3 linked regions of the Lonchura striata genome follow. The protein of the gene in region 1 interacts with the protein of each later gene in a biochemical or structural test. Links are inferred from orthologs where the notes say so. Each region holds a gene or a part of one and is shown in the gene's direction. Other genes may lie near its edges. The genes, in order: LRP1, DAB1 and LPL.

Evidence for each region.
Region 2: the proteins of LRP1 (region 1) and DAB1 form a complex in vitro, tested with the Homo sapiens proteins (2 studies listed by BioGRID). The link is inferred for Lonchura striata from reciprocal best matches to the Homo sapiens genes LRP1 and DAB1.
Region 3: the proteins of LRP1 (region 1) and LPL form a complex in vitro, tested with the Homo sapiens proteins (3 studies listed by BioGRID). The link is inferred for Lonchura striata from reciprocal best matches to the Homo sapiens genes LRP1 and LPL.

The regions. Positions count from the first base shown.
Region 1 is NC_134629.1:5,766,197-5,769,941, forward strand, and holds the start of LRP1 (prolow-density lipoprotein receptor-related protein 1), read left to right. Parts: upstream 1-1,184; 5' UTR 1,185-1,205; coding exon 1,206-1,278; intron 1,279-3,745. UniProt on the Homo sapiens protein: Endocytic receptor involved in endocytosis and in phagocytosis of apoptotic cells. Required for early embryonic development. Involved in cellular lipid homeostasis.
Region 2 is NC_134611.1:7,735,011-7,738,755, forward strand, and holds the start of DAB1 (disabled homolog 1), read left to right. Parts: upstream 1-934; 5' UTR 935-1,135; intron 1,136-3,745. UniProt on the Homo sapiens protein: Signaling adapter of the reelin-mediated signaling pathway, which regulates the migration and differentiation of postmitotic neurons during brain development.
Region 3 is NC_134642.1:5,368,333-5,372,077, reverse strand, and holds the start of LPL (lipoprotein lipase), read left to right. Parts: upstream 1-1,130; 5' UTR 1,131-1,149; coding exon 1,150-1,210; intron 1,211-3,745. UniProt on the Homo sapiens protein: Key enzyme in triglyceride metabolism.

The DNA.
Region 1 (3,745 bases):
TCAGGGTCCCACCGCCCTTGGGGTGGTGATGGTTTTGCTGTCCTGGGAGAATGGCGAGGCTCCTGTTGCCTTTAGCGATGGTGAAGGGCCAGTCCTGGGGGACAGCGAAGGTCCTGCAGCCCCGAGAGGACACCGAGGGTCCCGCTGTCCCTGCGGGTGATGGGTCCTGCTGCCTCGTCCGTCTCTGACCCGCGGCCGGTACCGGGTGTCGGTAGAGGGGAGCTGGACCTCCCCCGCACCTGGGGACCACCACAGCAGGGACAGGCCGGGCGCTGGAGCGGCATCACGGGCCGGTACCGCGTGTGGGCGCGGGACCGGCAGCGCTGTACCTGTGCCACACCGGTCCTGGCCCCGGCCCCCTGCTCGTACCATACTGACACCGATACCGACACCGACACCGGCACCGGACCCCTCCCGGACCATACTGACACTGATACCGACACCGATACCGGCACCGGTCTCCTGCTCGTACCATAATGACACCGATACCGACACCGGCACCGGAGCCCTCCCGTACCAAACTGACACTGATACCGGCACCGGACCCCTGCCCAGACCATACTGACACTGATACCGACACCGATACCGGCACCGGACATCTGCCCGGACCATACTGACACCGACACCGGTACGGGACCACAGCCCGTACCATACTGACACCGACACCAGAACCAGACCCCTGTCCAGACCATACCGAGACCGATACCGGTACCGACCCGGGACCCCTGTCCCTACCCGCACCCACCGGGGGGCGCAGCCCCGGCACCGCACGCGCATGCGCGTAAGGACCCCCCCCACCGCCACGCGCGTGTCCCCCCCCCCCCCCGCCCGTTCCCGTCCGCGGCGGCGGCGGCTCGAGCCCGGTGACGTCAGGCGGGCGGCGGCGCGCGCTCCATCGCCCCCCACCCCCAAAATCACCGCCCTCCCTCCGCCCCTCCCTCCGCCGCGGCGGCGGCGCGCGCAGAGACCCCCCCCCACCCCCCCATCCCCCGCCGCCCCCCGGCCCCGCCGCCGCCGCCGCCGCCGCCCAGCCCGGAGGGTCCGCCCGCCCCCCGGCCCGGCCCGGCCCGGCCGCCGGCCCGCCCCCGCCCGCCCCCCGCGGATGTCGGTGCGCGGGCCCGGGACGCGCCGCCCCACGGGCAGCACGGCGTGAGCAGCCGCCGCCGCCGCCGCCGCCGCCGCCGCCGAGCCGCCGAGCCGCCGGCATGGGGCCGCTGCTGGCCCTCGCCGGGAGCCTCCTGGCCCTGCTGGCCGCGCCCGCCGCCCGCGCCCTCGAAGGTGAGTCGGGGGGCGGCGGGGCCGGAGCCCCGCGGGGCGATACCGGCGGGGAGGGGGAGGCGCCGCAGCCGCTGTCGGGGGCGCGGGGCTCGGCCGGGCCGGGGAGGGGCGGGGGGCGCTGCGCGTCCCCCCCCTCCGCCGCCGCCGTGACAAAGCAGAGCGGGCGCAGCCCGGCCCCGCTGCGCCGTGGGGACACCGGAGGAACCGGGCAGCGGCGGGGAGCGGCGGGCCGGACCGGGGAGGCGCGTCCTCCGGGCACCGCTCCGCAGCGCACGGTGCACCCCCCGCCCCGTCCCCCCGCAGCCGCGGGGGCCGCTCGCTTGCGCTCTTTGCCCGTTCCCGTGGCTCCCACCCGCCCTCCATCCCCATTTTCCTCTGGAATCCAAAGTTTTCCCCGCAGCCAAGCGGGAAAGTTGGAGCTCAGCACCGCTGCGGGAGCCGGGGCCGGCGGTCCCGGTGTGCCGGGGGTGGCCGGGTCCGGGATCCCACCGGTCCCAGGGGTGCCCGTGACAGCCCGGCCTCGCCCCACGCTCCCCCTCTTGCATAACCGGGGCTGCTTCTCCCGGAGCCGCGACGCCCGGCTGCGGAGTTTGGCTGTGACCGGGCCTGGTGGCACCGGGAATATGGTTTATCCAGCCACCGGGGCTGTCCGTCCCCCGGTCCGTGCGTCCGTTTGTCGGTTTGTCCAGCCTCCCGCCATCGGTCCATCCAGCTCCTCGCCAGCCGCTCGTTCCCAAGCCGCGCACGTCGCGTTCCCGGCCCTTTATTGATCTATTCAGTAAATACTTGAGCTCGTCAGCTCCGCGGCCGGGCTGGGAATGTGCGAGGGGCCGCTCTTGGCAGCGCCCGTGCTCCGCGCTGGCAGCCGCTCCAGCCGGGAACCGGCGGCCGTGGCGAAGTTCTCGCAGCGCTTGGACGCGCCGGGCTGTTTTTTCCCCTTCAAAAGCAGAGAAATGGGGGAGTCTCGGCTTTCCTGTGGCGGATTCCCCTCTGTCTGCACGGGAATGGCCTTGTGAAATGAGAGGCTGGAATGATGGATGAACCAGAGGGGGTTGTTTTTTTGTTTTAGGAGGAGGTTTTTCTGTCCCATTTGCTTTGCCCACCTTGGAGCAAAGCGGGAGAAGGGATTTTGGTGTCGTGGCAGTGGCAGCATCTGACCCATCGCCGGGTTGGAGGGATGGAGGAAGAGGAGGAGGTTTGGGCAAACGCCAGATCCCTGCCCCAGATTCATGTCTGGGGCTGCAGGAGGCCGGAGCCTGTGGTTTCCATCCTCCAGCCCCTCCTCACCCTGCTGGGGATGCGGACACTCGATCTGTGTCCCTTGGAGGGAGGTGACAGGAGCGGAGCAGCTCAGGGCACCCTGCGGCCACCCCTCGGTGGCACCTGCGGGGCTGATCGAGCCGCTGGCACACACCCGGTGAGCTCGGCGGTGCAGGTGGCCACGGCTGAGCCCTCCGGGGTCACTCCTCCAGGGAACACGGGGGCTCGGAGGCATCGTCCCCGCTCGGAGGTGGCTCGGAGCATCCGGCGGATCCAGAAGTTGGTGGGGGCGGAAGGGAGGCATCGCTCATTGCATAAGCTGCGTTGCCTTTGGAAACCAGGCTGCGGAAAGATGATGAGCTGGAGGGAAGTTCTTCCATCCTCGGCTCCACACCCCAGGAGCTGGAGTGGGGCAGAGACACCCCTTCCTCCTGGTGCACGTCCCCCTCCCCAGGGGCTCCCCTTTGGGGACTGTGATGGGAACGAGGTGCTGTTCCACCACCTCAGGGTGCTGGGAGCTGTGGGAAGCTGTGGGTGGGAGGATGTGGGGGCATGTGGCGGATGTGGAGGCACCACAAGGATGTGGTTGGCTTGGTTAGGGGGCAGAATGTGCCACCAAGGTGCCACCTGAGCTGGTGCCTCAACCCTGGCGGTCCTGGCTGGGCTCTGGTTTTCCTGATGCAAGTCTCCCACTGTCCCAGCTGGGTACAGTGGGGCTCTGGGAGAGGCCAGGACATCACTGGGAGCAGGATGCAGGTCCCCATCCTTGTCTGGAGAGCCAATTCCTCACACTTACAGCCTCTGTTTGCGGTTCTGGAAGCTCGTTGCTTGTTTCTGGAGAAGAGGAGGCCAAAGTCCAGCTGTGGGGTGGCAGGAAGCTCTTCCATGGGGAACAAAGGGCACTGGTGTGCAGCTCCTGTCTGCCTGGTCCTCTGCCACTTGCTGGGGCAGAGTGGGGCATCCCTGCACCCTGTGGTGGCAGAACCCCAGGAGCGGAGTGAGGGCAGGCAGGGATCACCCTGTTCCTGTTTTGGAAATACCTGTGGTTGAGGGTGGCCGGGATGTTTTGGTGCAGCACTTCCCTCTTGCCACCTCGGTGGTCTGGCGCGTCCCTGTGTGCCCGTATGTGCTCCCAGGTGTCCCCACGTGTGTCTGCGTGTTCCCAGGTGTTTTCCCGTGTGTTTTTTCCTGTCTTGCCATGCGTGTG
Region 2 (3,745 bases), on another chromosome or scaffold:
CAGGGCAGGGCAGGGCAGGGACGGGACAGGCAGGGCAGGGCAGGGCAGGGCAGGGCAGGGCCGGGCCGGGCCGGGCCGGGCAGGGCAGGGCCGGGCAGGGACAGGCAGGGCAGGGCAGGGCAGGGCAGGGCAGGGCAGGGCAGGGCAGGGCAGGGCAGGGACGGGACGGGACAGGCTGGGCAGGGCAGGGCAGGGCAGGGCAGGGACGGGCAGGGATAGGCAGGGCAGGGCAGGGCAGAGCAGGACAGGGACAGGCAGGGCAGGGACAGGCAGGGCAGGGACGGGACAGGCAGGGCAGGGACAGGCAGGGCAGGGCAGGGCAGGGACGGGCAGGGATAGGCAGGGCAGAGCAGGACAGGGACAGGCAGGGCAGGGACAGGCAGGGCAGGGACGGGCAGGACAGGGACAGGCAGGGCAGGGACAGGCAGGGCAGGGCAGGGCCGGGCAGGGCAGGGCCGGCAGCCGGGCGCTGCGGGCCCCGGGGGCTTCCAGCGGGAGGGCAGCGGGCCGGGAGCCGCGGCCCCTCGCAGGGGAGCCGGGCGAAGGACTCCGGGCCGGAGCCGCCGGAGGGGCTCCCCGCGGCCCGGGCGGGGCGGGGGGCTCCGCTGCCGCTGCCGCTGCCGGGGGATGCGGTAGCGCGGAGCTGCAGGGCACCGGCGCCGCCTCCGCCCGCGCAGGCTCCGCGCCAGCAGCGCCGCAGCCAGCGAGCCCCGGGCGCGCAGCCCGCCCGCCGCCGGAGGAGGAGGAGGAGGAGGAGGAGGAGGAGGAGGAGGATGAGGATGAGGATGAGCATCAGCGGGAGCGGCGCGGCTGCAGGTAGGAGGAGGCGCGGGGGGAGCCGCCCCATCGCCGCCGTGCGCGGAGCGGGTCCCGGCGCCCCGCGGAGCCCGGCGGAGTTAACGCAAAGTTTTTGCGGCGGGAGGGAGGCGCTGGCGCGGCGGAGCCGGCGAGGAGGCGGGGAGCGATGCTCGGGCGGCGCGGTGCCGCCCGCTCCGCCGGCCGGACGGGCGAGCGGGGATGCGAGCGGAGCGGGAGCCGCGCTTCGGGGCCGTGCGCGGGGATTTAACACTGCCACAGCCGGCCACGGGCAACTTCGAGCCCTAGCGAGCATCTCCGAGCCGTGCTGGGAATGAACGTGAGGCACCGCTTCCTTTCTATTTGTGTGTGTGTGTGTGTGTGTGTGAGAGAGACTCCCGAGCAGGGTTTTCTCGCCATCCACCTCTGCGTGCCAGCCGGGAAGGGGCAACTTGAACCAGCTGTCCCCTCTTGGGTTAATATTTACAGCCCGAATAAATATTTTGTTGCCCTTCTACCTTCTTCTCGACGCCTTCTTGTAGTCGAGATGATTAATCAGGGATGTTAGTGGCCAACTAGGCATAACCTTGTAGAAAAATAATTATGTGAGGATATATGGGGTTTGACTAGTGATGTGATACAGAATACACCCAGATCTCGGTAGTTGCTTCCCCATGTGTGCACGTTCAGTGTGTTTTTGATTTTGAATGGAAATATAAGTGTAATGATAAACATGTTACTTCCAGGGGAAGAATGTTATTTTCCTTGCCAGTGAAATATACAGCAGCTTCAAAGTAAAATGTGCATATCTGTGGATATAGAGAGGGGTTCTCTTTTCTGGTCAGTCACTAAAATGTTTTTCTCCCTTTTGAATGTGGTCTTTCTAGTGGTGCTGGTTGCTTTGCATGTTTGGTTTGCAGAATGAATTTCATTTCAGTGCCCTCGGAGTCTCGAGAGAAGAAGTGCACTGCTGTGTCTTCTGAGGCTGGTTGTTTTAACTGATCTTGTTAAATAATGCTATTATTAAATGATGGCAAATTGAAGCAAATGTGTTTTTCATTGCCCACAAGTTGTGTCTCTGAGCTAAATCTCTTTTTATGGCTGGAGAGGCTCTTGCACTGCAGTATTACAATACAGCCATATTAAAAAGGTCCTTGGAGCAAATAACCCTCTAATGCTGCAGCTATGTTTTCAGTAGACTTCAGTAGTTCTGTGGGAAGTGATTATGTTGGATTTAAGGAATCTGGGTAGAATTGCTTGTGCTTTTTTAATTGTGGTGTTAAACTGCCTGTAGACGTTGGTGTAAGTGGTAAATCTAGACCCAAAATCTAAAGAAGCAAAGCTCCAAACCCAAGGCTTTATTTGTGATGAATTTTTTTTTTTTTTTTTGCAACAGGTTTTTCTGTTTTTTTTTTCTTTTTTTTTTTTCCTTTTCCTTCCTTCCTTCTCCCTTCAGTTGGCAGAGAGGTCTCCAGCTTTAATGCCTTTCCTTGACCAAGCAGAGTGCAGTGGGAGATGATACCATCATTCTCCTCTTGTATGGTTTATTCTGTCTCTGGTGCTGCAAAGAATGAAGGCGAGTCAGACTAGAGATAAAAGGGAGAGAAGATGCCTGAGGTTGACGGTGTTGGCAAATTGATTGATTAAGGTTTGTTCTGAGGAACCCCACTAGATTTCAGGTGGTTTCTTTGGGATGTCCTGCTGAAAGCACAGGTCAGCATCTATCCTTCAGTGATTTCACACCAAATTCTCTGGTGTGTGCTTGGCAGGTGTGAAAAGCAGACATGGAACTAAGCTTCTAATGTCAATATTTGGTGCTAAAAGATTAATTTTGAGCAGAAGACAAACAGTTTGGTTACTTTTCTTTAACTACAGCTCTTCATTACTGGTTTTTGTTTGCTCTAGTAAACAAACCCATAGATCTTAAAATTGAATTAAGTGTATAAACTGCTTGAACCAGAGAGGGGAGACAGACTAATAAATAAAGAATTAAGCTATTGTGCCATTGACTGGCTGATTACAGCTTTGGCCTGATCACTCAAGCAGTGCTCCAAGCAAGCTCTCCATGCCCAGCACTGTTTTTTCTGGATTGGAGGATGGGAACGCTGGTGGTGACTGGGGGGTGATGTCTGCTTGACTGACAGACACTTATTGCAGAGTGGCACTCACTGCTCTGTAATTTTGCCTCTGTAATGATTTTCCCCAGAGAGCTGACAGAGAATTAAAACGTTTATGATCAGGTTTTTTGGAAGGGTTCCTCAAGATGCAGAGAGGAGGGCAGGGAAGTCCATCCATTTTTAGATCTTGCTAATCCCTTGTGTTGTTCCTGTAGTCATGCTAATTTTTATTGATTGTCATGGCAGTAGCTGTTTCAGAGCACAGAAGTGGAAATGTTTCACTTCATTCAGGGTAATCCTAAAAAGAAATCAAAGTGGGAAGGAAGGAGTGGCTGAAAGAGTTGTCTCACTCCAGTCTTTTCTTCAGGTTGTTCATGAAACAAAGGCAATAAACAGTTCGTGCACTTTTGAAATCCAATTTCTGTGAGAGGACTAAAGTTTCCATCCTGTGTTTGCTGTAAATGCAATATAATCTTGACACTACCTATCATAAGGATGCAAACCTCAAAGTTCTCCTGCTCAAGCCCATTTCTCCACTGGAGCAAAACCATGGGAACAGAGGAGTCTGTGGTGGAGGATGGATGTCATATCCCATGTGGATGTCAGCTGTGTGCAAAAGGAGCTGAGCTGGAGTCAAGGCTGGCACCCAGGCAGCAGATGACAGAAAAGTGTCATTGATTTCTGGTGACCAGCTCTAATCAAACTCATGTGTGTGCTGAGATCAGGAACACGCTCTGTGCTTCTTTAACCATCTGATGGTGACCTAAAAATCCCTCTGTGATCCATCTGTGCTCATCAGGTGAGCCTCAGCCAACACTGGTGCCTGGTATTCA
Region 3 (3,745 bases), on another chromosome or scaffold:
TCAGCCATCTCTTATTGAACAATCTCACTAATATAAACCAGATATGTTTTAGTCTCCAAAGGTGTCTGGTATGAAAAAGATATGTCGTCCTTAAAGTGAATCGCATTTGCTTCACATTGCAAAATCCAGGGAGTCCTCACTCCCTGTGTAATAAGCTTCTTTATGAAGCTGCGCCTTTGGCAACAAACTGCACAATGAAATGAAAACTGGTATTGTTATTAAATTAATGTCCTTACATAACTGATCTTTCACCCAGTGGCTGCCAACACAGATCTCAGTTAAAACCACATTTCTGAGAGGAGAGGAGAGAGAGTTGAAGAGCTCAAGGAATCAATTTTTTTTTATTTCTCAGGAGCACAGATGCAATCTCCAGTGAATTAATATTTTCTCCAAACTTGTATCCCCTCGAGTGCTGGCAAAACAAAGTCTTGGCAAAGACTTTTCAAGGGAACAGCAGAAGGCCCCTTGCCGAGCACTGTACAGAAAATGCAGCTGGCTGCTGGTTACTGGTGCAAAAGCAGGAATGGGAAGGAAGACCCCACCAGAGGCATCGCAGAGCTGGGTCACCACAGGCAGGAAGGACCTAGGGGGTGAAACGCGGGATCCGCATGCTGGCTGCGGGGCTGAGGGCTCTGGGAGGGCTGTGGGAGCCAGGCCCAAGGAGGGCTCGGAGCCTAGGGCTCCATGCACGCCGAGCCATGCCGTGCCGTGCCGTGCCGTGCCGTGCCGTGCCATCCCATCCCATCCCATCCCGTCCCGCTCCGCTCCATCCCGCGGGAGCGCCGAGCCCGAACCCGCCCCACGCCCCGGGCAGCGCCGGCCCCGCCCCTCCGCGCTCGCCCAATGGGCGCGCAGGGTTCTTTGCATATTTACATATTCATTTGCATATTTGCATATTGCCCGGGCCATAAAGACGGGCCGAGGCGGCGCTGGCGGTGCTGGGCGCTCCCCGGGCTGCCCCGTCTGTCGCTGCACTCCGGCGCCGCGCTCCTGGCTTAGTCATCGTAAGTTGCTAGAGGAAAAAAAAAAACCAACAAAAAAGAAAAAAAAGAAAAAAAAAAAAAAACTTACTTACTTTTTAAATTAAAAAAAAAAAAAATTTTCTTTTTCTTTTCGCGCCGACGCTTTGGTCCCGCGGCAGGAGGCGAGATGTGGAGGAAGGCGCTGCTGGCCGCCGTGTGCCTCTGGCTGCGCTGGGCGGCTCCGGGCGGTGAGTCCCGGGACGGGGGGCACGGGGAGCTGCCGGGCCTGCCTGCTGCTTCTTGGGATGAGAGGGCTCGGGGGAAGCGCTGCCGGCGTGGCGGGAAAAGGGAGCTTGCAACTTTCCTTTGTGAAGCTGTCCCGGGAGTTCGGGATGCTGCGGGACCCGGGTTTCGCGGAGAGGGCTTGGAAGGCGCTAGAGAGCGACCCTGAGACCTGGAGCCTGGTCCCCAGCCGAAACCCAGGCACAGCTTGCCGGGCTAGTGGCGGGACGTGTTGAGGTTTGGGGTGTGTTTTCTTCCCAGAGACAAGGTGGCTTTCGAGAGTCCCTTGCCCCAGCAGGGGATTTGCACAGCAGTAGCATCACGGTAAGATCCCTCGGCTTCCTCTGTGGGACTCATCTATCCCAGCATCCCAGCTAAGTAAAGTTCTTGTTCCTAGACAAGGCAAGGCTGAGTTTCATTGTTATCGTGGTAATGTGTGCAAGCTGTAGTTAAGCCTGTAATGAGCAGGATCCACTAGGGGAGAAGTGAACAGAGTGATTTTCTCTCTCTGGGCTCACTTGTTTGCGTTCTGCCTGTTGTACTTGTGCATAGACATCCTGTCCAAGCTAGAGGAAGTGGAAGATGTGCAAATGGTGCTAGATTTTTACTAAAGCTCTCTCAATTAATCACAATGTAATTGAAGCTGCTGTGGACAAATTGACTAGATTTAGGAGACCACTATTCCTCAAGCTTAAAAAAAAACCCTCTTAGAATATTGTTAGCAGTGCCCTGTCACAGGCTCACTTTCTTGCGCTGATCTCCCACACATAGTATCTGTCTTTAAAAGTTTCTGGCCTTAGAAGAAAGGGTGGCTTTAGCTCCTAGATCTGCTTTGTGATCCTAAACTGGAATATATAAACTGCCATTTTTTTATGCTGTGGGTACCTTTGTTACTTCTTTGTGTACAAGGAAGCTGAAGGGAAGAAAGTATTCAAAAGTAAGAGGATGGGGTGCTATGGTACAGCAAAAGGAATGTATTCTAGGTCTGAATCCAATCTTGTGCCATCACAGACAATCAAAACCAGTTTTCATCACAGTATCCAAGCTATATATATTAAAATAACTATCTTCCCAGAGAAAGCTTTCATCCCTGCAGTAACTGATTTGCCACAGACTTACTAATAATTTCACTATTTCTTCTTAGGAATTGGTTGTATGAAAGCAGGTTGTGTGTTCATCCTAGAGCAATTCAAGCCGTGCTTCCGCACTTTTCCATGCACACCACAGTAAAAAGTTTTTTGAAACCACAGAAAACACATGATCCAGCCCTCCAGGAATCCAGAGTATTTAAAAAACAACATAGAAAAATATTTCTAGGTGAAGAAAACATTGATGTTCCAGGAAAAGATAAAAACATATTATAAATACATTCAGATTCTTATCTTTAACATTGTAAATCCAGAGTCAGCATATTTACACTGCTGTGTGATGTGAGCTGCTGGCTTTTTTTTATGGTTTGTGTTTGGGATAGACATACCAGGGCAGCTGTGGCATGGCCTTCGAGAAACACTGCATTTTTGAGAAGGCACAGAGGTGAGGCTCTCAGCCTCAAGTTGTTCTGGAGATTATCATGATGACTAGCACTCCTAAAAGTTTGGTGGAATCTTCTCTGTGCAGAAGTACTTGCATGATAGGACTTTCTCATGCATCCTTACCTCTGTATTACTGCAAAGTCTGACGGTGTTTGCATTTTGTCTTCAGCTAATTCCAGATATTCCAGAGGGACTGATGGATGGCTAGATATCTGCTGGATTGAGTTTCAGGAGCCCCAGCTGCAGCTGAGTAAAGATTTGTCAGGGAGTACCACGGAGAGGGGTGGGCACCCCGTGTACACCCCTGTGAGAGAACAGCAGTTTGCCAGCTGCAAAACTTGAGCTGGGAGGTTCTTACCCAGCTTCTGAACTTGTGCCCAGTAGCTTTCCAAAGGTGTTGCCCTTTCCACTGGCCCCACCTGGGAAGTGAAGCAGAACATACTCTCAGGGCTCTGCCATTGAGGAATATATAAATAAACGTGAAGTTGTAATGTTTTTGCAGCAAGGTTAAACAGTAACCTGACTTGTGATGTAGGTTTCCTGGGATTGCAACACACAGTTGTCTGCTTTCAGTTTATAGTGTAGATCAAATTGAACAACAACCATTTCTGTGATATAGGCCCTTTACTACAGCTGACTGTGAGTTTGCTTCAGAACTCTTAGAAATTCAGTATGACAGATTCAAGGGTGTTCCTAATGCTGATTGTCGGATGAGGGAAGATTTAGCCCAGTTAACTACACTGGTAAATATTTGATGTTATGTGCAGATGTTTGCTGCTGTGCATGCATGTCTCTGTAGGCTATAGAAGACACAGTCTAGCAGTATAATTTCTTTGCACCTAGCTAATACTATTTCTATTTCTGGGTGCATAATGTCAGGAAATTGTTGTTTATCAAAGATTCCATTTTTAAAACCATAGCTTAGGTGCACTCATTCTGGCAAATGCATTGTTATCATATTTTGGCAAC